Linked DNA regions of Caenorhabditis elegans. The protein of the gene in region 3 interacts with the protein of the main gene of each other region in a biochemical or structural test. Each region holds a gene or a part of one and is shown on either strand. Other genes may lie near its edges.

Region 1 (6,480 bases), on a different chromosome or scaffold from region 3:
ATCATATGATGGACTCGAAATTGTTTTCAGATATTTGAAGATACAAGTGGATTTTGTTTTGATAATAATAATAATAATTATTATTATTATTATTATTATTATTATTATGTTTCACATTCTTAATAACTTTCAATAGTTGTTTTGGACTTGCTGCGTTGATTATTTGCAAAACTAATTTTCGAATGTTCAATAATTTTGGTAATTTGCCATTTTTGTAGAAAACTTAACTTGATACCGTTTAAACAATACACAAGTGCCAACAATACAAACTTTCCAATATTTCAACAATTATTTAAGCTCAATTCGCCAAAAAATGTCAAATTTTCTGACGTTACCGCAAAGTATTGCTGGGAAGTTTCGCAGAAATCGGAAATTTTGGGGGATTTTTCTAATTCTATAAATATTTGCCCTTAAAACATTCGACTTTATTGCGGGCTTACTATTAGGGAAAATATTTACTTTTTCAGATATTTTGATATCGCAGTGATTATTTGAAGAAAAATTTCTATGTGAAAAAATATTAGGGCTTTGAAACATTACTGAGACACTTAATTTTGTTTTTGTAATTTTACTGTTTTACGTTTGCCATTTACTACCAAAGCTATTCGTCAGATAGTTGGTCGTCGATCAGGCAAAGTTAGAACTAGCAAGTTTTGGAACTGCAATAATCTTAAGTTTTGAGGTTCCACCAACGACTGGTTACAAGTTATTTTTTGCAAACGATGACTTTATTGTGGGTCCAAAAGAGTATTTCACAATTTTCCGATGTTATCGTATCCCGGTAATACGATGAATATGACTTATAGGTTCACTTGAAAATGCAACATTTCACCCCTCCTTTTTAACAAAAAAGATTGTCTCTAAAGAAACCCGCATGATGATGAGTACTTTGTTCCACCCCCACCTTCATAAAGCTCTTCTCTCCCATCATAGTAGCATATAGACGCAGAGAAAATAGCCGGATTTCTGTAGCTTTAAAATGGGAAAAGAGAGAGATAGTAATCAAACAAGCTCGCGCACAAAATGACAACTCTTGAGAAGTTTTCCCTTTCTCTCTTTCTATCCCCCAAACCCTATGATTATATCAGACAAAACGTGGGCTATCTTGCGCTACGAGATAGAGGCAAAAGTGCGTGGTAGGCAGAAGGCAGGTGGAGCCATTTGAAAAATGAAAAATATGTTACCGTGGGAACATATACCAACAATTACGGTTTCATCAAGGCGATATAAGTGTTTAAATCTTTCAGCGAAACTTCATTAAAACTTTCCGGACAATCATCTGCTACCCAGTTTTGAATTTTCTTATTAAAATACGGTGCCCAGTCTTACTGAAGTTCCCAAATTATGGAATTTTTTACAAGTCAAGGTTTAAAAATCGAAGAAAAATTGGCAACGACAGGGGTGGGGTCTATAGTACTATTTAAACGCGCAAATTTTTTGAATTCAACAAAATTTGCAATTGTATTTATTAAACATAATCGTATATTTTTTTGATTACTGTGAACAGTGAGAACTGCAAAAAAAATGTATTTGAAACCTTTGGACAACTTATCATATTTTTTACGGAAACTTGTACCTTCAAGTCGTGTTGTAACAAAAAATATTTTTGAGCCTCAAATCATATTTGATTTCAAACTAGTTTCTAATAGTAAGATAAAACTTGTTAGAGAAACTGAATTTATTTTCCGGTATTTTTTTTATTTTCATCATAATTTTAAATCTCCTACAGCAGTTAATGACTTATTGAAGCATTAATTAAAACGAGTACCAAAATTGATTGCCTTCAATTAAAAAAGTAGCAATCTGAAAGCTACAAAGCTCACATGTGAAGCTTTCTATGTTGTCAAAAATTCAGCAGCTGATTGGCGGTAGGCACAGTCATAAGGCAGGCAGGCAGATATTTTTCTGCCTACGTGGAATCAACTGAACATACATTTTACTGGTATAAAAATAACAGGCGATTTCCAATCATGATTCACAGTTCCCATTTTAAGCTTGTTGTTGTCCTGATAGAATTTAAATAATTTACTGTTTCTTCGATAAAATAATAGGAAATTTTTTAAAGCAAGTTAATTTATCATAGTAACGAAGTTATCATTTTGAAATGCTAAAAATTTAGTTTCTTTCAGTAGAAATATTGTCTTGATACTTTTTTTGGTCTGAAAATTTACTTTTCAGTGTCAGGCTTTTTCAGCAAAAACTAGAAGTTTTTCTAGGAACCTTGGAAATTCAAATTTTTTACTATTAGTTTTCAGTTTTAAACAAGCTTATGATTATTATACCCATAAGAAAATAATCATTTGCCTTTAAAAATGTTTCAGTTCTCATAAAATTATCTACTTCTATTCAAGAACCAAAGCAGCAACCATTTTTAATATAATTTTTTCTCACTTCAACTCCAATCCCTTCCATTTTTTTTTCCAACAATTCCCTTGACTGCAACAGACTGAGGATATTCTCAAGCACCCGCTTCTTCCCGTGATGCTCTAAATCTCTCAATAATCCATACTATTTCCATGTTACTGTAACTGAAGAGGAGGTGGTGGGAGGCGCCGGGATCCCCCTTTCGCAAATATCTTCCTCTCGTCTCTTCATTTTCCGTGCTATTTCGAAAACACACTTACCAGGCAATCGGGAAAAGCCGAGCCAATTCAGTTTCTCCGAGCAAATTTCTTGGCATTTTCGCCGTGTCCCCCACACTTTTTCGTTATCTTTTCTTTGTCTCAACCCAACTTTTACCGTTTCACAGCAATCAATGATTCATCTCGTAGATCTTGTTCTGATTGGGATCTTCTTTAAATTACGTATTAAATTATTTCAGGTGATAACCAATAACCATGAGTGACGTTGACGCTGATGAGGTGAGTCGTGGTTTTATTTCATTGCAAAGATAAAAATTGATTTGAATTTGTAAAACACATGAAACAGTAATTTTGTAAACTTTTTGGTAAACCAAAAAAAGTTTCCAGCCTTATCCCCCACATATGGATGCAGAAGTAAGTCTAGACAGTTGAAAATTTTAAGTACAGATTTGGTTTTTTTGTTGGAAATGGTTTTTATTGAGTTATTTTATATTTTTTCTTGAAATCTGAAAGAAAATTTGAGATAGTTTTTACTTGTAAAAATGAAAATATTTCCAGTGTTTTTGGGATAAACCCTTCAATAAACATGAAACTGTTTTAATTCATAAATTAACAACAATCTGAAACTGTAACAGTTTTTGAAATAGAAATGAATTAGTGGGAAACAATGCATTCGTTTACTATAATGTGACTGTAATTTGTGGGCTCGTTGAAACAATATATATATATATATATATATATTTATTCGACTAGTTTGAAAATTGTGAGCTTTGGTATAAAAAATTAGTAAAATTTAAAAAAAACGTGTTTGTGAACAAGCAAGATCTTACTAAGACCTTACTTACTAAGACGAAGCGATTGCTTTGGCGCGACTGTATATGTTCATATTATTTATATAAAAACATAGTGTTTATAGTTAGAAACATTTTTGGTTATAGTTTTTTTGAAACAGTAACTTTAAAATAAATAAAAAATTGTTCACCTTTTTGATGTATAGTGATTGTAAATGATTCATATACTTGTTGAAACTGTTTATAATGTCTTTTACTTAGTTGAAAAGCGAATTACATAAAAGCTGCCGTTACAAGACCCCATAAAGATTTTAAATACTCAGTAAGTATATTTTTAATATTAAGGATTTTTTGTTCTGCAAAATATTTTTGGTTCACCCTTGTCATGTTTCGTCTTCAGTTCAAATATTGAGTTACCGTAACCGCCATATTCCCATTTCCGTACCTCAAATTCACATTTCTAGGCGCGCAAAATGGCGGAGCGCGAGCGCAAGAAGGAAGAGGTGCGTAAGCGTCTCGAGGAGGCCTCAAGAATGAAGAAAGCCAAGAAAGGATTCTTGACACCTGAGAGAAAGAAGAAGCTTCGTAAGCTTTTGATGATGAAGGCCGCCGAAGATTTGAAGCAACAACAAATGTTGAAAGAGCAAGAGAGACAACGTATTCTTCAAGAAAGAATCATTCCACTTCCAGATTTGGATAACGAAGGTAAGTGTTCTGAAGATGAAAACAACTATTTTATGCTACTTTTGGATATCAGTAAAATGCAATTATGTATGAAAATATAGAACAAAACACTTAATTTAGTAATTAAAGAACATTTTGCTAGGATGTCAATACCTCTCCAAAATACGTTTGGTTAAATAGAAAATACGAAACAGTAAAATTTTTAAATAAAAACTTGAATTTTTTAAATCTAATAGACTACTTTAAAAAGTGTTAAAACTCTGTAAAAACTTCATAATTCCGGGCGGTTACCTACATGAGTTTTATCTTTATTAAATTTTCCAGATGACCTCGAGGCAGTCTACGATGAAATCCGCGAGAGACTCATCGATCTTGAGTCTGAAAACTATGACGTCAGCTACATCGTTCGTCAAAAGGATTTCGAGATCAACGAGTTGACCATTGCTGTCAACGATCTTCGCGGAAAATTGTTCGTTTTTTATATTTTTTGAGTTTTTGGGGGTATTCATTTTAACCACATAATTATTGGATGGCACTGAGAAAATACTTTTCGCCATTTTTGATATTACTATCTTGAAACGGGAAATTTTTTCAAATGGAAATAGGAAAATTAATTACGAAAATGACACCAAATCAAAAAATATTGATATTGTAGAAAATTTTGAGAACTGTTAGCTTCACCAATTTCGGGTCCTGACACGAACGCAAACTTTTCAGCTACAGTACACGGGAGTATACAGTTCATTTTTAGCTTCATAGAGCGAATGTTCATATGATACCCAGATGCGAAAATTTACAATTTTTAACGCAAAATACATATCAATCCCGGTCTCGACAGGACCGAATGTTGAAACGGCAAAAAATTAAAGTTTCATCCAAAAAATAAAAATTTAAAATTTCCAGCGTGAAGCCAACCCTGAAGAAGGTGTCCAAGACCGAGGGAAAATTCGACAAGCTTAAGAAGAAGGAAGCCACCAAAGTCGATTTCCGTGCTCAACTCAAGGTTGTCGACAAGAACGAATTCGCACTCGATGAGGAAGACACTGAGAAGAAGGAGAAAGCCGCGTGGGCTAAGTAATTTCCAATAAAATCATTGAAAATTTCGGATAACTGGCACCCCCTGGAAACGTCTCGTCAAATTCAACTCGATCAATCCCTTCCCATCCTAAAAAATTCTCCTTCTTTATAAAAATTTCACCTTCGCATATCCATCGCCCTATCCATTTGCTTTCTTGTTCCTGTATTTTTTGTCTAAAAATTGTGCTCTGAAACAACAAGAATAAATCAAAAAACAATATATTATACAAAAAAATCGGGATGAATAGTTCATAAAAATTGATTGATGTAGATCTAGAGATTGAACCGTGGTTTTTTTCTTGAAATTTTAACAGGGAAATGGCATGTGTGGGGATTTTACAATAATTATTAGAAAATACATTTTTAAATTAAAACTCCATATCGGGAACTTCAATAGCTTGATCTTCTCTCATTCGTTCTTGTTCCAGCCTGATCAACTCTTGCCATTGTCGCTTCATTTCCAGATACTTTTTCAACGAAAAAACTTGAATCGTCTCGAAAAATCTTCGAACCTGGCCTCCTGGAATGTACTTGGCAAGTTTTCGGCACATTTTCTTCCTCTTCCTCCGCCGATTCTTCTTCTTCTTGACAAGTTCTGGTTTCTCAATACCTTCCTCCTTTTTTGTTGGCGGTTTTTTCTTCTTCGGTTTTTCTTTTTTCGACTTTTTCTTCCTCTTGTTTCGTGATCGCTCAATATTGATGTGGTATGGAATTGGATTTTGTAGACTTTCGGAAGTCGAAGGGGCTTCGTCTTCAGGTGAAGTTGGAGGAGGAGCACGACCAGTTGAGCATGATGGGATAGAAGTCGACGGGGAGAATGCAGATTCCTGGAAATAGTTAGTTTAAGAATTATTTTCCCTTTTAATTAATGTATTTTTTAATTGTGGAGTAGCGTCGGTGGTTTTTGTTGCTCTAAATAACAGAAAATAGTTTGAAAATACCGAATTTAACTGTTAAAAAATTCATAGAAGGTTTCGTACAATTTGAGTTTTCAGATTTTTCCTGATCCTCTTCCTCGGTTGAATGGCTCCTGATTTTCGGAGACACGCAAATTCTCGACGTTTCAGCTCAGCAAACCTTCTTTCCAACTTTCTCAATCTCATATACATTGGCCACGGCCTCCGCTTTCGTCGCATTTTTAAAAACCGAATTTCTCTTAATAACTTTGTCATGTAAAGTTCGACGAATGGCCTGAGTCGCGGCGGAAATTCCTGGGGCACAACTGGCGGTTCCAGATCGTCGATTTCTCCAGGGCTCAGAATATCTGGAATTTCTTCTTCTTCGTTTTCCTCCTGTCGACGAACTAATTCCGCTTCTTTTTTACGTTTTTCGTGTTTTTGATATTT
Region 2 (5,171 bases), on a different chromosome or scaffold from region 3:
TGAATTGTAATTGGTGAGAGGCAGATGGGAACTTATAACGAGTGAAATAGTATCTCAAAATTATGGTAAAACGATAAACATAGACAATGTACAATTTCAGTTTGGGTATTAACAAAATTGAATCTCTATTTTTTTTTTAAATTTGATATCAATATTAATTTACATCAAATCTCATATCTCATGCTTACATTGTTAACCTTTTGCTATCCATTTTTCACAATAACATTTTCATCTGGTTTTAAAGATTTTGCAATAAATCTCTTTTGTAAATTTCACAAAGCAGCTTAAATTGTAAACAATAAAAATATTTTGATATCCTGCTTTTAAGTGATCAAACGTACATTAATATTACTTTTTGAACGAGGAGTTGTCGATACGTATTGAGTGAGCGTATTGTTTATACAAACTTTTTTTGAAGTTTTGACAACAAACCGATATAAATTTTTTTAATCATACTGTCACTAACCAAGAACGTATAAATGCGCTCTTGATAATAATAAAGATCCGAAATGAGTAAAATAGCACTCGCACATTTTTCCTTCTCTCACTTATACTTGTCCAAAATAACCAAATGTCATAATTTAACACTCCTAGGATTTTTGAATTTCTAAAAAATTTTAATGCGAAGCTGTGGTGAATTTTGTTTACGGAAAGTTTGAGTTTTTAGGATAATTTCGAGAATTTGTGCAAGCTCCAACACCTACTTCCAATACATACAACTGAACAGGGATTATGTGATCAAGTTCCAATATTACTTTATTTATACCCAATTTAGCTCATTATTAGTTATACCTCACTGAGGACACTACTTCTAATGAAAATTATTCCTTGATAGCAATCAAGAAATAATTTTCTAAAAGTAAAAAATTGTAAGCTGTAAAAGTTCGGTAGTGCCAATTAATTTACCCATATGACAACCGCTCATGTATAATAATATTTCGTAACACTTGTGCCCCCACTACTGCTCAACGTTTTTAACCAAAACATCATCATCGCCTCCATCAGCTATTTTTCTGTATCTTCTTCCGATGTTTCTCTTTCTCTATATACTCGTTGCAATGAACAATGTATCAAAAGAAAGATAGAGCTTGCCGCATCAGAAGAAAACAGTGTAAACTATTCGGAGATTGGCAGAAAAGCGTGATAACACAGTTGAAAACAATTCAAGATAAGAATGTGAATGTTTATGGAAAAAAGTGTTAAAAATAAACAGGACAATAGATCGGTTTAATCCATCACTACTCCATAAACTAAAATGGGTGTGAAAATAGTTACAGGGAATTGGAATTTATTTACAAGTTTCGGGTTGTTATTTACCATTGTTGGAAAATGTAGATTTTTCTCGTTGTGATCTGATTTTTGAATGTGTGATTTTTTTAATGATTTAGATTCACTTATTTTATAGTCTTGTCAAAAATAACTACTTTATGATAACAACTGATAAATTCAATTTGAAAGTAATAATATTCAACTTTTTGTGATAACTAATGATGATTTGCATACCCAATTTCATTATCCCCGCTATCTTTTTTCTTTATCACTTATCACAAATCTCAAACATCTGCCCACACCTCGCAACACTTTCAACTCATGGTCCCTAACATATTGAATTTCAAGAGAGTCTCACCGGCCACCGTGACTATTTTTATTGTATTTTTCCACACGTCACACTTGTCAGCTTGTCAATTTTTTTTTAGGTTTTTTTGTTTTCTGACCTACTCAAATCCTACGTGACAGCATGAAATTATGGAACTGAAAGAGAAATGGTTGAAAACAAAACACTGTGAAAAAATAAATAAAATTATTCTTGATTCTGATGAAAAATGTCATGTTCCAATTCACTTTTGAAACAATTTATCCAACAAATATTTACAGATCTCACTAGCGAGCCATGTCACAACTACAAAAAAGCAATCGAATTGATGAACTCAGTGACACCGTTGAAAAATCAGTATGTTATTTTAAAAATTGTTTAGGTATTTTTAGTAGTACGATTTTGATTTTTGATCACATATCTTCTTTTTGAAAATACAGAAAAACTACAGACTAGCTTCATAAATTGTTCGGAGCCCCATTCACCGAATAGCTCATAACTTGACCCACTGCCCCATCTGAAACCAATATCTTCTTGCCGCGTTCCGTTGGTTTTTTCCACTGAAGTTGCCACAGCTCTATCCCTATCTCTCGCTTGTCTTCAATCAATCTCGGCCAACGCAATTGGTAGGCAAGAATCATTACAACAAGCGGGAGACGTGTTGGAAAGAGCATCTGTCTGTATGGCATTGTCCGAGAGACCCAAAGATACAGAATTGGAGGGCGGGCGGTTTGTGGGGCGGCTGTTGCCAACTCTAGGTACCTCTCACGAGTTGCGACATCTATTGGCAGGATACTTCAGATTTCAATTCACAAGGCCTTCGGATGCATGATCAGGCTCGCCGCTAATTTGTTTTATGCTCATTCAAAAATTATTCATTTTGTGAATTTAATCTTCTGTTTTGTGATACTTGTACCCCAAACTAAAATTTCAGATGAGTGAAGAAGCCGGAGAGGACGCCCAGCGCAAAGCTGCCGAGCGCGAGGCCAAGAAGGCCGAGGTGCGCAAGCGTCTCGAAGAGGCCGGAAACAAGAAGAAGGCCAAGAAGGGATTCTTGACACCAGAGCGTAAGAAGAAGCTTCGTGTAAGTTGTGTTTTTGGAACACTTAAATGTTTAACTTATTTTTGATTTCAGAAGCTTTTGATGGTCAAGGCCGCCGAGGATCTTAAGAGACAACAATTGCTTAAGGAGCAAGAAAGACAAAAGGCTCTTGCTGACAGAACCATCTCACTTCCAAATGTTGACTCCATTGATGATAAGGGACAACTCGAGAAGATCTACAATGACCTCTGGGCTCGTCTTACCCAGCTCGAGGAGGAGAAGTACGACATCAACTACGTCGTCTCCCAGACTGAGGCTGAGATCAACTCCCTCACTATTGAGGTCAACGATCTTCGTGGAAAGTTGTGAGTTTTTATCAGTTTTTGATGAATTTCCCATATATGTAAAATCATCCAAAGTATTGATTTTACTTTTTATTTTTCAGCGTCAAGCCTTCACTCAAGAAGGTGTCGAAGTACGACAACAAGTTCAAGAAGAGCGGTGAGAGCAAGGCCGGAACCAAGGAAGACTTCCGTGCCAACCTCAAGATTGTCAAGAAGGACGTTATGGAGGCCATCGTCAATGTTGTAAGTTTTATCTGCAATGTTCGAGAATTTTGATAAACAAATATTTCAATTTCAGAAGAAGAAGGACGACAAGCCAGATTGGTCCAAGAAGAACAAGGATGCCAAGGCCGAAGACTCCGCTCCAGCTGCCGTTGCTCCAGAAGCTGAGCCAGTTGCAGAGGAAGCCGAGGCTGAGCCAGAAGCCGGTTTGTCAAAAATGATTTAGATTTTCTCGATAACTGAAAACTTGCAGAGGAAGAGGAAGGAGAGGAGGAGGAGGAGGAGTAAACTCCTAAATCCATCACTTCAATCCTGCTCAACATCATCCAAATCGACGTCATCAAACCGAACAACCCCCCTCCCCAAAAAAAAATATGCCAACATCAATATTCTGTAGTTTGTAAAATACTTTTTTACCATTTTATTCTTCCTTCGATGGGTCCCGGAAATTTAAATGTCAACAACGTGTGTGCTAATAAAATCTTGGTGGTCAGACTTGTGTGTTTGAATCCTTGAAGAAATATGAGAAGGAAGTGTGAAGTGTAGTAGGGAGTGTCTGGTTAAAAGTGATAAGTGAAGGAGAACGTGGGAGGAAAACATGAGAGGATCACTCTCCTGGGCTCTAAGAATAGTGCGAATAATTTTGGGACGCTTTGACAAACTCATTTGTCAGATAACGTTTCAAAAAGTATTTCAAATATTTTTGACACAATTTTGAAACACTCACAACATTCAACACCACAGACGCCAAAAAAACTGTTCTTGCAATTTCAAAATTTCGATCAAGTTTCCATCTGTTGAAAATTGATACATGAAAATATCTCTTTTAATTGTGCAGAACTTAATCAGCAATATTCATATTCACAGTTTAGCTGTTATGATACAATGCTGCAGTAAATTTGAAGATTATCGTGATCTATGGAGAAAATCAAGGGAAGTTGATAGCTTGGAAAAGCAAACAGGAGAGCACATTTCAATGAAAAGTCAATAGTTTTCCAAAAGTACTGTACTAGTATATTACTGAGTCTAATAAACAAAAAAAAACTGGTATCAGACAAGTTTTTCCTATCAGTTTTCAAAGATTAATTCAAATCTAATTGGGGAACATTTTTAAGATTATTTAAATGGCAAAGTTTAAATGTTTTCATTAAACATACTTGATAAGTGTTAATGATCGTTCGGAAAGGTTTTTTTTGAACAAAACCGGTTGCCATGTGTGCTACGTGTGAAAGTTATGTTTCATCATTGTTCCTCACGCGTTGTCATCAGCAAAGATCTGCACCGTACAGGTAAATATTAAGACCACATGATTCATTTTCAGTACTGTTCAAATTTTTGAAACAGTTTTAGTGCATCGTATGAGCCTGTGATTTCCCAAAAGAAATTTTGAATAAAATTTACCAAAAGTTAGGGATTAATTGTTAATGTATAATGTTATATAACAGTTTTAGACGTCATTTCTGACGTCATTTCAGCAAAAAAAAAATTTTTAATGTATTGGAGTTCTAGAGAATTGAAATAAAAACAAGTATTTATTCATTTTTTTAAAAGTAGAACAAAACAAATTACCTTTTACTGAGTTCATATTTCATTCATAGTGACGTAATTCACAAGTTTCAAGTTTCAATCAACTCATTTATTTCATAATTTTTTGCAAAATAGTCTCTGGTCGTGTTTTATCAGACTTTCACTTTCAGGTACACTGTGTACTTTTTGTTTTTCAATTTAAATTGTATTTTCAACATCCTCTTTCTCTTTGTCAATTTCGGTTTTCCATAACTGTTGTCCATTTCTCTGTCGTCCACATCATCGTTCACATAACATCTGCCACTTGCCTGTACACGAGGGAACCCAGCGAGTGCGCTCTACTGCACTACTCTTGTCGATTTACGCGAGCTGTGGATTATCGGATTTTTCTTGGAAAAACACAGAAAAACTAGATTTATGTGCTTTTTGTCTTGAAATTTTT
Region 3 (5,197 bases):
GCTCAATCTCCAGTGAAACTCGTTGCCAATCCATTCTACAATCCAGAACTTGTCAAGGAAATCAAGAAGAAATCCCGTGTTTCAGTTTAATATTATTAATTATTTTTATTTATTTTTCCTCAAACAGTTTAGTCGGTTTTTCTGATATCCAGGTTCGGTTTTTATAATTGTACTTTTTCTTGGAAATGATTACAAAATTTCTGTCCGGTATTTTTTCTGTATTGGTTTTCTCAATTTTTAACAACTGTACTTTTACTCAATTGTTTTAATAAATTAATCAGACTAATTAAAAGTTGTTTTTCACTTCAAACGACCACGCTTTCAATACTAATTGAATACAATACATTTCTGAATAAAATTTTTTTGCTAGTTCCACCATCGAAAATTCCAATTACTCCAATTACTTTAAGCTAGTATTTTGTAGCACATTCGTTTTTTTCAAAATTTTCAGATGATTGATTGATTTATTTAACATAACTAATGCAATTTACAACTGTACAATTGAATTTTGAGTGTTAAATAAAACGGTAAAACGAGACTAACCCAGAAAGAGTACGTCTCGAGTTTGGGACGGGAAAGGAGAGAGAGGGTAATGTGGTAGAAGAGATCAGTTAGAAGTCAAAGAGAACCAGCGGATAAAAGTTAATACCGGGGAATATTGAGATCGAGAAAACTTGAAAACTGATAGGGGGAGAGAAATACCGGTATATTTTTGACAAGATTGTTCCAAATAGGAATGGATTTGGCAAAGAAATGAGAGGTGCATGTGTCTTTCCTAACCAGAATCATGGGTCTCCTATTGGAATTAGAGAACTTGACAAACTGAGTTAATTTAGAGAAATGAGTAGAACCGGTAAGAAGTCTATATAATAGTTTCATTTGAGCTTTAATTCTAGTGTGTCTGGTGGAGAATAGTTCCATGATGCACAGTCTGTTTTCGTAAGAGGTGAATTTAACGTTGCACCTTTGCAGGACGCGGTTGGTGAAGGTCCTAAGCGGTTTTTCAAGTATGGCAGAGAGTGAGGAGTTGGGGGAAGGGGAGTAGATCTCAGAGCAATAGTTTATGATGGGGGCAACGTATGTTTTAAATAAGTGGCTATAAGTTAAATAAGTGGCTATAAGTAAATAAGTGGCTATAATTAAATAAGTGGCTATAATTAAATAAGTGGCTATATAATTAAATAAGTGGCTATAATTTAAAAGTTGTTTTTCACTTCAAACGACCACGCTTTCAATACTAATTGAATACAATACATTTCTGAATAAAATTTTTTTGCTAGTTCCACCATCGAAAATTTCCAATTACTCCAATTACTTTAAGCTAGTATTTTGTAGCACATTCGTTTTTTTCAAAATTTTCAGATGATAAACTGCCCAATACTATTGGAAGTTTCTATAGTAGTAACACATTGACTTACTCTTTCCCCGAATACTTCAAAAATGCCTTCAACTGTACCCACCAATGCTCTATCAGTTTACCTATCTCCGAGCCCCCGAGTTCTACTTCTATCCGGCTGTATCCCTGCACAGTGCCTTTTTATGTCTACATCTCACACATTTTAACAGTCTGTCTCCAATATCCAAACACATCCCCCGCCGACGCATTGTGTGCTCTCGTTAGAGCTCCTCCCGCGCTGTAAGCCACTTGAGCAGTTTGTGGATTTTCCCTCTCTTTTCGCATTTTGTCGAAGAAACTTTTCCTCGTGTCGATCAGGTCAATCATCAATCATGGTAAGAGTTTTGTTTTATTGGTAATTTGTAGCTAATTATGTCTATAAATAAATCTGTGAATATGTGCAATTTTGTAGGGAGACGTCGTTGCTGATGCTTTGGAAAAGCTTTCTGCCGATCAGATCGAGCAATTCCGTAAATACTTTAACATGTTCGATAAAGAGGGAAAAGGATATATTCGTGCTACCCAGGTTTGTGGAGTTTTAATTTTGTAGCAAATTGCTGTTCAAATTGGAATTTCTTGAATTTTTCTTAAAATACTCCCAAGAAATTGTTAAACTCTGAAATTCCAGGTCGGACAAATCCTCCGTACCATGGGACAAGCCTTCGAAGAGCGTGACTTGAAACAGCTCATCAAGGAGTTCGATGCTGATGGTATACTTCCCCCACCGGCCATAAATCTACAGTACCAATCCTTTTTCAGGTTCCGGAGAGATTGAGTTCGAAGAGTTCGCCGCTATGGTTGCCAACTTTGTTGTCAACAATGAGAACGACGAAGGACTCGAGGAGGAGCTTCGCGAGGCTTTCCGTCTTTACGACAAAGAAGTATGTTTATTTGCAATTTTGGTTTCTAATATTTTTAGGGAAAATGAAAGGAGAGAAGTAAATCTTGAGAAAAATATGAAAAAAGTCAATACTTTTGTCCTATGTATTTCTTCTATTTGAAATTATGTGAATTCTGAAATTCTTTTTGAAAACTTTGTTTGTTGTAAACTAATAATTTGTTGAATTCTTGAGCATGACCTTTTTTCACGTTGTCAGCTTATATCTCGGTTTTCATTAGTTTAATCAAAAATTGTCAACTGGCAAAGTATGTACAAAATATTTCTCCAAATTCTGATAGTAATTTTTCAAAAATAGAACTAAAGACAACCAAGATAGTAGCCATCAAAGTTGAGTGATGGTTCAAGAGAAAAAATACGGTATGTCATCAATATTTCTTTTACAGTCTGAACCATTGAAATTGAAGAAAATATAATTTTAAAGCCTAAATTTTAACTTTCAGGGAAACGGATATATCAACGTCTCAGATCTTCGTGACATTCTCCGTGCTCTTGACGATAATGTTTCAGAGGAAGAGCTCGACGAAATGATTGCTGAAATTGATGCTGACGGTTCCGGAACTGTCGATTTCGATGAGTTCATGGAAATGATGTCTGGAGAATAATTTTAATTTTTATCCTACCAATGATTTCTGACGGCGCCTTACCATTCACTGACTTCCAATAATTCTTTTTGTAAAAAACAACAAATCTTACATTTTCATGCTTTCAATTTATTTGATAAAAGTTGATAAAAAAAATAAAAGAAATCTCAAAAAAATATTGTAAAAAAATTCCCATGTAGTCGACCCTTTTGATGTTAGAACAAGTAATGATTAAGAATAAAATTTATAAAATAAAATTGATCATCAATTTTCCAAATACGTAGTGTAGTATTCTGTGCTGCTTGCTTGAACTTGACAGATGAAGAGCCAATCATTGGTCTGAGGTGGAGCCCAGAAGAACTGTAACAAGATTTAAGGAAAATATTGAAGTACCGTATCAACGATATAAAAATTCATTTGTTGAAAGATATTGCAAAATTCATGTTGCAAAACGACTTACATCAGTAGATCCCTCCTGCAATGGTTGTGTCGAAATAACTTGGTTCGTAGAATTTGCTTGTGGAAATCCTGGAGCCCACTTTGAATAGATCAGTGGATTAAGCTGAAACACACAATATTTTTCAAACACAAATAACAAAATCTATAAAGTACCGGAATCATGTCCTGGCCTTGAGGCTGCTCCCAGAGCCACTGATTTCCCAAGTTACGTAATCCAATGTAGTATTCCAATGGCTTGTACTTGGGGAACGAAATTGCCATGAGAACTGGAAATTAATTTATAGGTAATTTTGCTGAAATGCTTAGTTTTTGAAGTTTAATCTCACTTTGCATAAAATCGTGTTTGGCCTGACTGAACTCATTTGCTAAGTGAGCATTTTTAACTTCACTGGCACAATAATCGATGGCATGTTGGTAACCGTAACTTCCGCCAGTTGCAGTAAATCCTCGAAGACAAACTCCGTATTGAGTTCCGTTGCCAGTAAACTGAACCCAGTTTTCTGGGCAGAAGCAGTTGACTGAAATAGTTGTTGTTTGAATTCGTACTCAACTATAATTTGACTAATGTGATAAATTACCCAGGTATGTTACATCCAACCAACGATTACAATCTTTGGTTCTCTATGAATGTTGAATGCATATTAATTCCAATTAGATAGTTTCAAGAGATTTCTAATGATATGATGCCACAGACATAATAGTCATTATGCATTTTTCAGTTAGTTAACGTAAAAATATATAACGTACTGCTCAATAGCGCCGTTGTCAACTGTTTAACCAATTTAGAAGTATTCATCTCATCCACTAAACTGAATTGAGGACTAGAAATCTGTGCTAATCCATCCAATGCTGCTTGATTCGTTGTGCACGCTACCGTAATGATAATAGTATTGTCATATTTCATGCGTCTAGCAATTGGGAATGCATCATTAGAGGTTCCTGATCCTCTGAAATTTAACTTTTTAGTAATGTTACATCATTCTTTCCAGCTTACTGATAATCAGCTGCAAAAACTATAACAACTTTCAGAAAGTTGAACCGATATGTGCGGCTACGCCCATTCTTGAGTGCTTGCTCAGCCGCCAGAAGTCCTCTGAAAGTTGGTGAGTTTTGAAACTTGTGCGAGTTACTTTTTTTTTAATGAAGATCTCAACTCACTTGCTCAAATACGACGAATTTGTAGAATCGACGTTGTTCAATGATCCTTGAACCACATTGTACAAATCAGTGAAACTGTGTGGTCCGTCCAATTGAGCGTTTGTGGTAGCATCGGAATCATACGTCACAACTCCAACACATGTACTACGAGGATCCGCTGGGTATTTAGTTGGACCGATTCGAGATGAGCCAAATAATTGAGTAATGGTATTTCTGACCTAAAAACATTGTTTGTTAATTTGGACATTTGGGAAATAATTTAAGATTTTTTTAAACTTTCAAATTAAAGAAAAACTTTGATTTTTAAAAATTACAACTAACCTGCCAGAGCTGTGCATTTGTCATCAGTTGAGACTTATCAACAACTACAACTACGTCCAACCACAAGTTTTTGATATCTCCCTGGCATACCCGGTCAGCATAGACTGCTGCTGAGTTCTGTAGAACCGGTGAACATAGTGTACCTAAAAAAAATATTTAAATTCATGTCTGGTTAACTGTCGAAACCTCACCTACAACTGCCAACGTTAAAAATATGACGAGTGTACTCATTTTTTGATCAACTTCAACTTTTCGACATTTTCGATAGCATTTAAACTTTCTTAAATACCCATTTCTTGTTTCTAGATTGCTTGTCATCATCACTTGCTCCTCGCTATTATCATCTTTTTTGAAAAGTGATAAGAACACAAATGGAAATAC
Region 4 (5,477 bases), on a different chromosome or scaffold from region 3:
AAAGATCACTAATACAAGTTTTGTTACATGTAAAACTTTTACACGTTTTTAATGAATTCAAATGAATTGTTCATTGATTCAATATTCTTCTCACATATCAACAGTTTTTATTTTCACCTCCCAGTTTTTTCAAATTTAATAGACATAGATAAAAAGTTCGGCCTTTTTCTATCTGTGTTTTCCATTGACACATTTGATCAGGAAGCTAATACAACATATGGGTGGGTGGGCAGAGAGGTCCGCCACGTTTTATTTTTGCTGTTACTGCGTCGAATTGAAGGGCACATCAAAATGAGTATTACAACACGATCCACGGAGCTTAGCGTTGCTCTTCTCGAAACAAATGATCAGAGGAGTAGAAGACACAACGCGATTCCAGGAGAGCACTGAAATCCCATCAAAACGTTGCCCGAGCTCTGATGTCTTTAATGTCCAGCTCCAGGCCGCCACACATTGTACTATTCGGCGAGCCAGCCAACTGACACCAGCCGTGTGTCCTGTCTTTTGCTCTCCTGCCACCTCCTCCAGTTTTTTGATGCTACTTCAATACATTCTGTCTGATCGCAGCCAAGCACTCGCAAATCAAATCTCAGCAACCCCCGCAATGCGACGGCACATCGAAAGCTATTCCCATTCTTCATTCCAGAATCTTCTTATTTCTTTTTCTTCCCCTTTCCTTCTTCTTCGTCATCTTATGCTTCTTCTTTCTATCCCTTTTCCCATTTATGTCTTCTAGTTCAACTCATTTCGTTTTCAGCCCATTCAACTGTGCTTCTTCTGCATATTTTAATTTCAAAACTTACTTTCAGAGTTTTGTTTCTTTTCCATTACAAAAACTCGAGACTTGTCTGGAATGAGAATCAAATCATATACTTTTTAATAAATATATTTTTGCTCACTCAATCTATGATGAAAAAAGAAACTACTTCAACCAAAACTGAGTATTCAGTATTCTCTCCCCTTTTCCTGCCTCTAGCTACATAATAAGACCTTCATTAAATTTTTATTTGTGCTCACTTCTCGTTTTGAAGTCTTTCTATTCACTCACATCAGTCGTCGTTTTTCACGCACTACTACTTCAAATTTGTATGTTTTGAGCAACGTAAAATTGTTTCTACCACCAATTCTTAGATCCGAAAATTTCATTTTTAGTATTATAATTTGATTACTATTCGCTGTCAGATTCATGACCGAGGCTAACAAAACACGCAATGAAACGCCTTTCAAGAAAGCCATTACACGATAATTACCGCTTAAGCTGTCAGTTTCGGAAGCCCTCGCGAAAAAATGGTGTATGCTCATTTTGTTCTCAGAGCTTCTGCAGAGCACTTCACTCACTTCGAATTTTCCTTTCAACTACAATTATTGTCCTTCTATCCACCACCTTTCCTTGCTTCCTAACAACATCCGCTCAACTAACAACTCTCACCTTCACGTTTTTGGTTTCAAAAACTAAAACACTCGCACTGAATCAGTTGGTGATGGCCATTCCACCATAAATTCATTGTTTAATTTTAACTTCCCCTATAGCTTCCATTACCTTTTTTCACCTAACATGTCTTTGCGCTTCTAACTTCGAAAATCTTATGTTTTCCGATATTATTTTCTCCCTCTGTTCACTTCGCTCGCACTTGCACTGTCCCAATTTAAACATCACCACTCGCACATAACCACGTTAAAAATTGTAATGTTTGTTATTTGTAAAATTTTGCAGATTGAAATTTTCAGAATGTATTTAAAATTTCAAAGTACTGCGATAGGCGTACAGGTTATTGTAATATACTCCTACAGTGGTTCGAACAATACATTACAACTAAACTGACAAAGTGTTTATTGGAGCACCAAAATTGGTTCATTACCAACAATAACAATTTTGAAACCATGTCTGAAATATATGACGATCATGTACCTAATGTGTTTTTTTTCTGAAAAACAGTCATAAATTTGGTAATCAATTGCTCCAGAATCTCTTGGCTGAATACAAGGTAACCAACACAATGTTGTCGTACTTCTTCACTTCTTACATCAACCTGCCAAAGTGAGCGCATGCATTTCAGTCATTTTTTATCTTTTTAATATACACTTACTTTCAAATTTTTGACTAGAAAGTTAGTTGGATCTGCACTAATGTTTCAATCGCTTAATAACACACCCATCACTAAGTCTTCCTTTATTTATTTTTTTTTCGAACAACATTCACTGAGCTGATAAAAATACCGTTTGTGTGCGTATCGTTCCAGCAAACCTCACACCCAAACACTTTAGACTCATTCCGTTTCATGGTTTTGCCTCTTCTATCAATCTGTTTTCAATTTGAATCCCCTTTCTCACGTTTACACACACCCTTGAATACCTTCACACCCACCGTACCTCTAACGCTTTCCACCAATTGCTTGGCACATCCCATAGTAGTCGTAACCTTTGTTTTCTGTAAATGTGCTTCTAATCAATTTGCATTTAAGGACTTGAAAATGAGCCAAATTGATGAGAACATTCGCTACGGCGGAGCTGCCAACGAAACCGATGGCGAGGTAAACAAAACAAAGTCATTTGTGTTTTTGAAACGATATTGTTCAGGATGCCCAACGAAAAGCCCAAGAACGCGAAGCCAAAAAGGCCGAGGTGCGCAAGCGCCTTGAAGAAGCAGGACAAAAGAAACAGAAGAAAGGATTTTTGACTCCAGAAAGAAAGAAGAAGCTCCGCGTAAGAGAACATTTGACTTTCAACACTTACAGATTCATTTTCAGAAGCTTCTTATGAACAAGGCTGCTGAGGATCTTAAGACACAGCAATTGCGGAAGGAACAAGAAAGAGTCAAGGTCCTTGCTGAAAGAACCGTTGCTCTTCCAAATGTTGACAGCATTGATGATCACGGTTCGTTCAGTGCTTTAGGCAACAAACAAAATTGTGTATATTTCAGCTAAGCTCGAGGCTATCTACAATGATTTGTTCTCCCGCCTCTGCAACTTGGAGGAAGAGAAATATGATATCAACCACATCACCACAGAGACTGAAACTACAATTAATCAACTCAACATTGAGGTTAACGATCTTCGTGGAAAATTGTATGTCTTTAAATAAACCCAGCAGTGCTAGTGTGTTTTCACCTGCTCCAATTCCGCATGACATGAGAAAAAACTATTTTCAGCGTAAAACCATCATTGAAGAAGGTGTCCAAGTATGACAACAAGTTCAAGAAGATGGCTGAAGCCAAGAAGGAAGATGGAAGCAAGAACTTGAGAAATAATCTCAAGACAGTAAAGAAAGAGAGCGTCTTCACTCAAATTGCCAACAAGGTAAGTTTGTAATAAGTTTAACTGGAATATAAAACTAGTTTTTACTTGAACTGTCAAGAAAAACATGTTAACAAAAAGTAGCCTGCCAGAAAAATTTCTAGAACACATATTTTGTGTTCACAATATTGAAAACTGGCTGAAACAATACATCAATATAGAACATTAAATACAATGTTTAAAATTGACATTTAGAATCCAAAAAACTCAAAATAATAAATTATATCAATTTGTAGTACTCAGAAACATATACTTATTTTATCAACATAACTTTAAAAATTGTTTTCAAATTGATATTTGATGAATTGAATTTACAATAATCCACATTTCAGAAGAAATCTGACAAGCCAGAATGGTCCAAGAAGAAGGAAGAGAAGAAGGAAGAAAGCGCCCCAGAACCAGTTATTGAGCCAGTTGAGGAAGAAGAAACTGCTGCTTCTGAGGGAGAAGAAGAAGAAGAAGAAGCCGACGAGGAATAAATACCGGCATTGTTGTCATTATCTTGTTCACTGAATCTAACTAATCATTCTCGCGTATAATACATTTCATCAATTCAATTTATGTGCCTTTTGAGTTTGAGTATTCTTAAAATTTTGTGCATGTAAAAGGTATTTGGCCCTTTTTTATAAATCTTCATTTGTTTTGTTCTGCCGTTATACTGTTTCAAAATTTCCAGTATACATTCTTTGTATTCTTTCAGTAATATTCCATCTTATTCTTTTCTGCATATTCGCAATAAATGAAGTTATCACCAACCCGGAATTACAGAGCAAAACTCGAAAGCAGCACAGAAAGGCATTTCTATTTGTGTGAATTATCCTAACGATTTTCAGCTGTCAAACTAACAAATGTAAATGAAACAGGGAATAAGGCAAAAACACCTGGAAACGCAAATCGCCGCCTTCTCCGACGTCACCAAGTGTAACCGGGTTGAGACGAAATAAAAGGAGCTCGATAAGCCATTTTGATTCTGAGTTAAACTCGAGATTGGTTTAATATGGAAAGAGTTCAATTTTCATCCTACGATGAAATGCTCCACTACAACTCACGAGTTGCGAATCAATTCCCAGGAGTTGATTTGAACGTTTTTCGGAAGATTCACTATCTGGAACTTCTGTCACAAATGTTTGGTATGTTAGTTCACAATTTTTTTAATACATTTATAGTTTTTAGGATTCCTATTTTACACTTTCTACCTGATAATTTTTCTGGTTCACGGAAAAACATTCTTCATCTCCGAGCACACATTCAAAGCGATCTTCATTATTCAAATGATCACTTTCGGCGCGGCACTGGTCATTCAGAAGGTATTCAATTTTAGTTTTAAAACTGTAGCATCACACAATTTCAGTTTTCCTTTATGGTCAACTCGGTAGAATATGTTACGTACTCAACATTTCCATTTATTCCAAAGTTTGTGATCTCCATTTGTGATCGGCTAGTAACGGCTCAAATGCCTTTGTATTGGTTTGTTGTCAGTGCTTTTCTCATAATTCAAATTGCCCAATTCGCTAATCAAAAGTATGTGTTTCTGTCAAAACAACATTCTAATAAATACATTTTTCAGTCCACGCGGAATTAAACTGGCACATACCTACTTGATACCTTACGGAATAATCATTACCCTCATTTCCTTCATTACCCCGGTAATATTTTCAAGAGAAGCTCAGAAACTAGGAAATCGTTGTTTTCAGGATCATATGAAACTTTTTATGATCGTCGTCTGCTTTCTAATCTGGTGGATTTATCGAAAGCATATGATTGCCCAGTTGTACAGCCAAGACATGACCGCCCGCGACGTTTTGAATATGCGCCGGATGAACATCTGGCTGTCCAGTCAGGTGAGTCTCATTAAAACTCAATGTGTTATATCAATAAATTGGATTTATTACAGATTTTCGGGACACTGATCTTCCATCTGCTCGACTTAGGAATGATGCTGGCTATCAAGTCGTCTGTGACTGACACTGGAAGACAAACCTATTACGGATTCTATAAGAATGAAGTAACAAACCATTCAACAAACGATAAAAATCAATGAATAAATTTTAGGTGTTTAAAGTGGTCACGTGGATTGCCACGTATGCAAATGCATTCATTTTTGCCTGGTCAACAATCAATTTCATCAAAACCGACGCTTCTAAGGAGCCGACCACACTTCCAGTTTTTGTTAATGGTTCGCTT

Evidence for each region.
Region 1: the proteins of tnc-2 (region 3) and tni-4 interact in far-western blotting, tested with the Caenorhabditis elegans proteins (2 studies listed by BioGRID).
Region 2: the proteins of tnc-2 (region 3) and unc-27 interact in far-western blotting, tested with the Caenorhabditis elegans proteins (2 studies listed by BioGRID).
Region 4: the proteins of tnc-2 (region 3) and tni-1 interact in far-western blotting, tested with the Caenorhabditis elegans proteins (2 studies listed by BioGRID).

What each region holds. Positions count from the first base shown.
Region 1 is NC_003282.8:5,201,770-5,208,249, forward strand, and holds tni-4 (Troponin I 4), read left to right. Parts: upstream 1-2,821; 5' UTR 2,822-2,837; coding exon 2,838-2,861; exon of another isoform or gene 2,862-2,882; intron 2,883-3,145; exon of another isoform or gene 3,146-3,166; intron 3,167-3,233; exon of another isoform or gene 3,234-3,254; intron 3,255-3,804; exon of another isoform or gene 3,805-3,825; intron 3,826-3,837; coding exon 3,838-4,078; intron 4,079-4,185; exon of another isoform or gene 4,186-4,207; intron 4,208-4,381; coding exon 4,382-4,526; intron 4,527-4,571; exon of another isoform or gene 4,572-4,592; intron 4,593-4,960; coding exon 4,961-5,135; 3' UTR 5,136-5,355; downstream 5,356-6,480. Other genes in the region: Y59E9AL.36 (RRM domain-containing protein), read right to left, coding at 5,503-5,961, 6,115-6,480. UniProt on the Caenorhabditis elegans protein: Troponin I is the inhibitory subunit of troponin, the thin filament regulatory complex which confers calcium-sensitivity to muscle actomyosin ATPase activity.
Region 2 is NC_003284.9:8,786,928-8,792,098, forward strand, and holds unc-27 (Troponin I 2), read left to right. Parts: upstream 1-2,528; coding exon 2,529-2,678; intron 2,679-2,729; coding exon 2,730-3,001; intron 3,002-3,081; coding exon 3,082-3,223; intron 3,224-3,278; coding exon 3,279-3,408; intron 3,409-3,455; coding exon 3,456-3,490; 3' UTR 3,491-3,694; downstream 3,695-5,171.
Region 3 is NC_003280.10:10,465,209-10,470,405, forward strand, and holds tnc-2 (Troponin C), read left to right. Parts: upstream 1-1,643; 5' UTR 1,644-1,728; coding exon 1,729-1,731; intron 1,732-1,808; coding exon 1,809-1,922; intron 1,923-2,024; coding exon 2,025-2,106; intron 2,107-2,155; coding exon 2,156-2,277; intron 2,278-2,737; coding exon 2,738-2,899; 3' UTR 2,900-3,142; downstream 3,143-5,197. Other genes in the region: sdz-37 (SKN-1 Dependent Zygotic transcript), read left to right, coding at 1-90; clec-143 (VWFA domain-containing protein), read right to left, coding at 3,143-3,238, 3,339-3,440, 3,491-3,603, 3,664-3,855, 4,085-4,284, 4,332-4,430, 4,496-4,713, 4,817-4,959 and 1 more.
Region 4 is NC_003284.9:11,374,456-11,379,932, reverse strand, and holds tni-1 (Troponin I 1), read left to right. Parts: upstream 1-2,462; 5' UTR 2,463-2,471; coding exon 2,472-2,531; intron 2,532-2,577; coding exon 2,578-2,703; intron 2,704-2,747; coding exon 2,748-2,874; intron 2,875-2,920; coding exon 2,921-3,065; intron 3,066-3,148; coding exon 3,149-3,296; intron 3,297-3,625; coding exon 3,626-3,772; 3' UTR 3,773-4,046; downstream 4,047-5,477. Other genes in the region: F42E11.3 (Brp/Blh family beta-carotene 15,15'-monooxygenase), read left to right, coding at 4,324-4,423, 4,467-4,600, 4,645-4,814, 4,861-4,939, 4,988-5,134, 5,188-5,334. UniProt on the Caenorhabditis elegans protein: Troponin I is the inhibitory subunit of troponin, the thin filament regulatory complex which confers calcium-sensitivity to muscle actomyosin ATPase activity.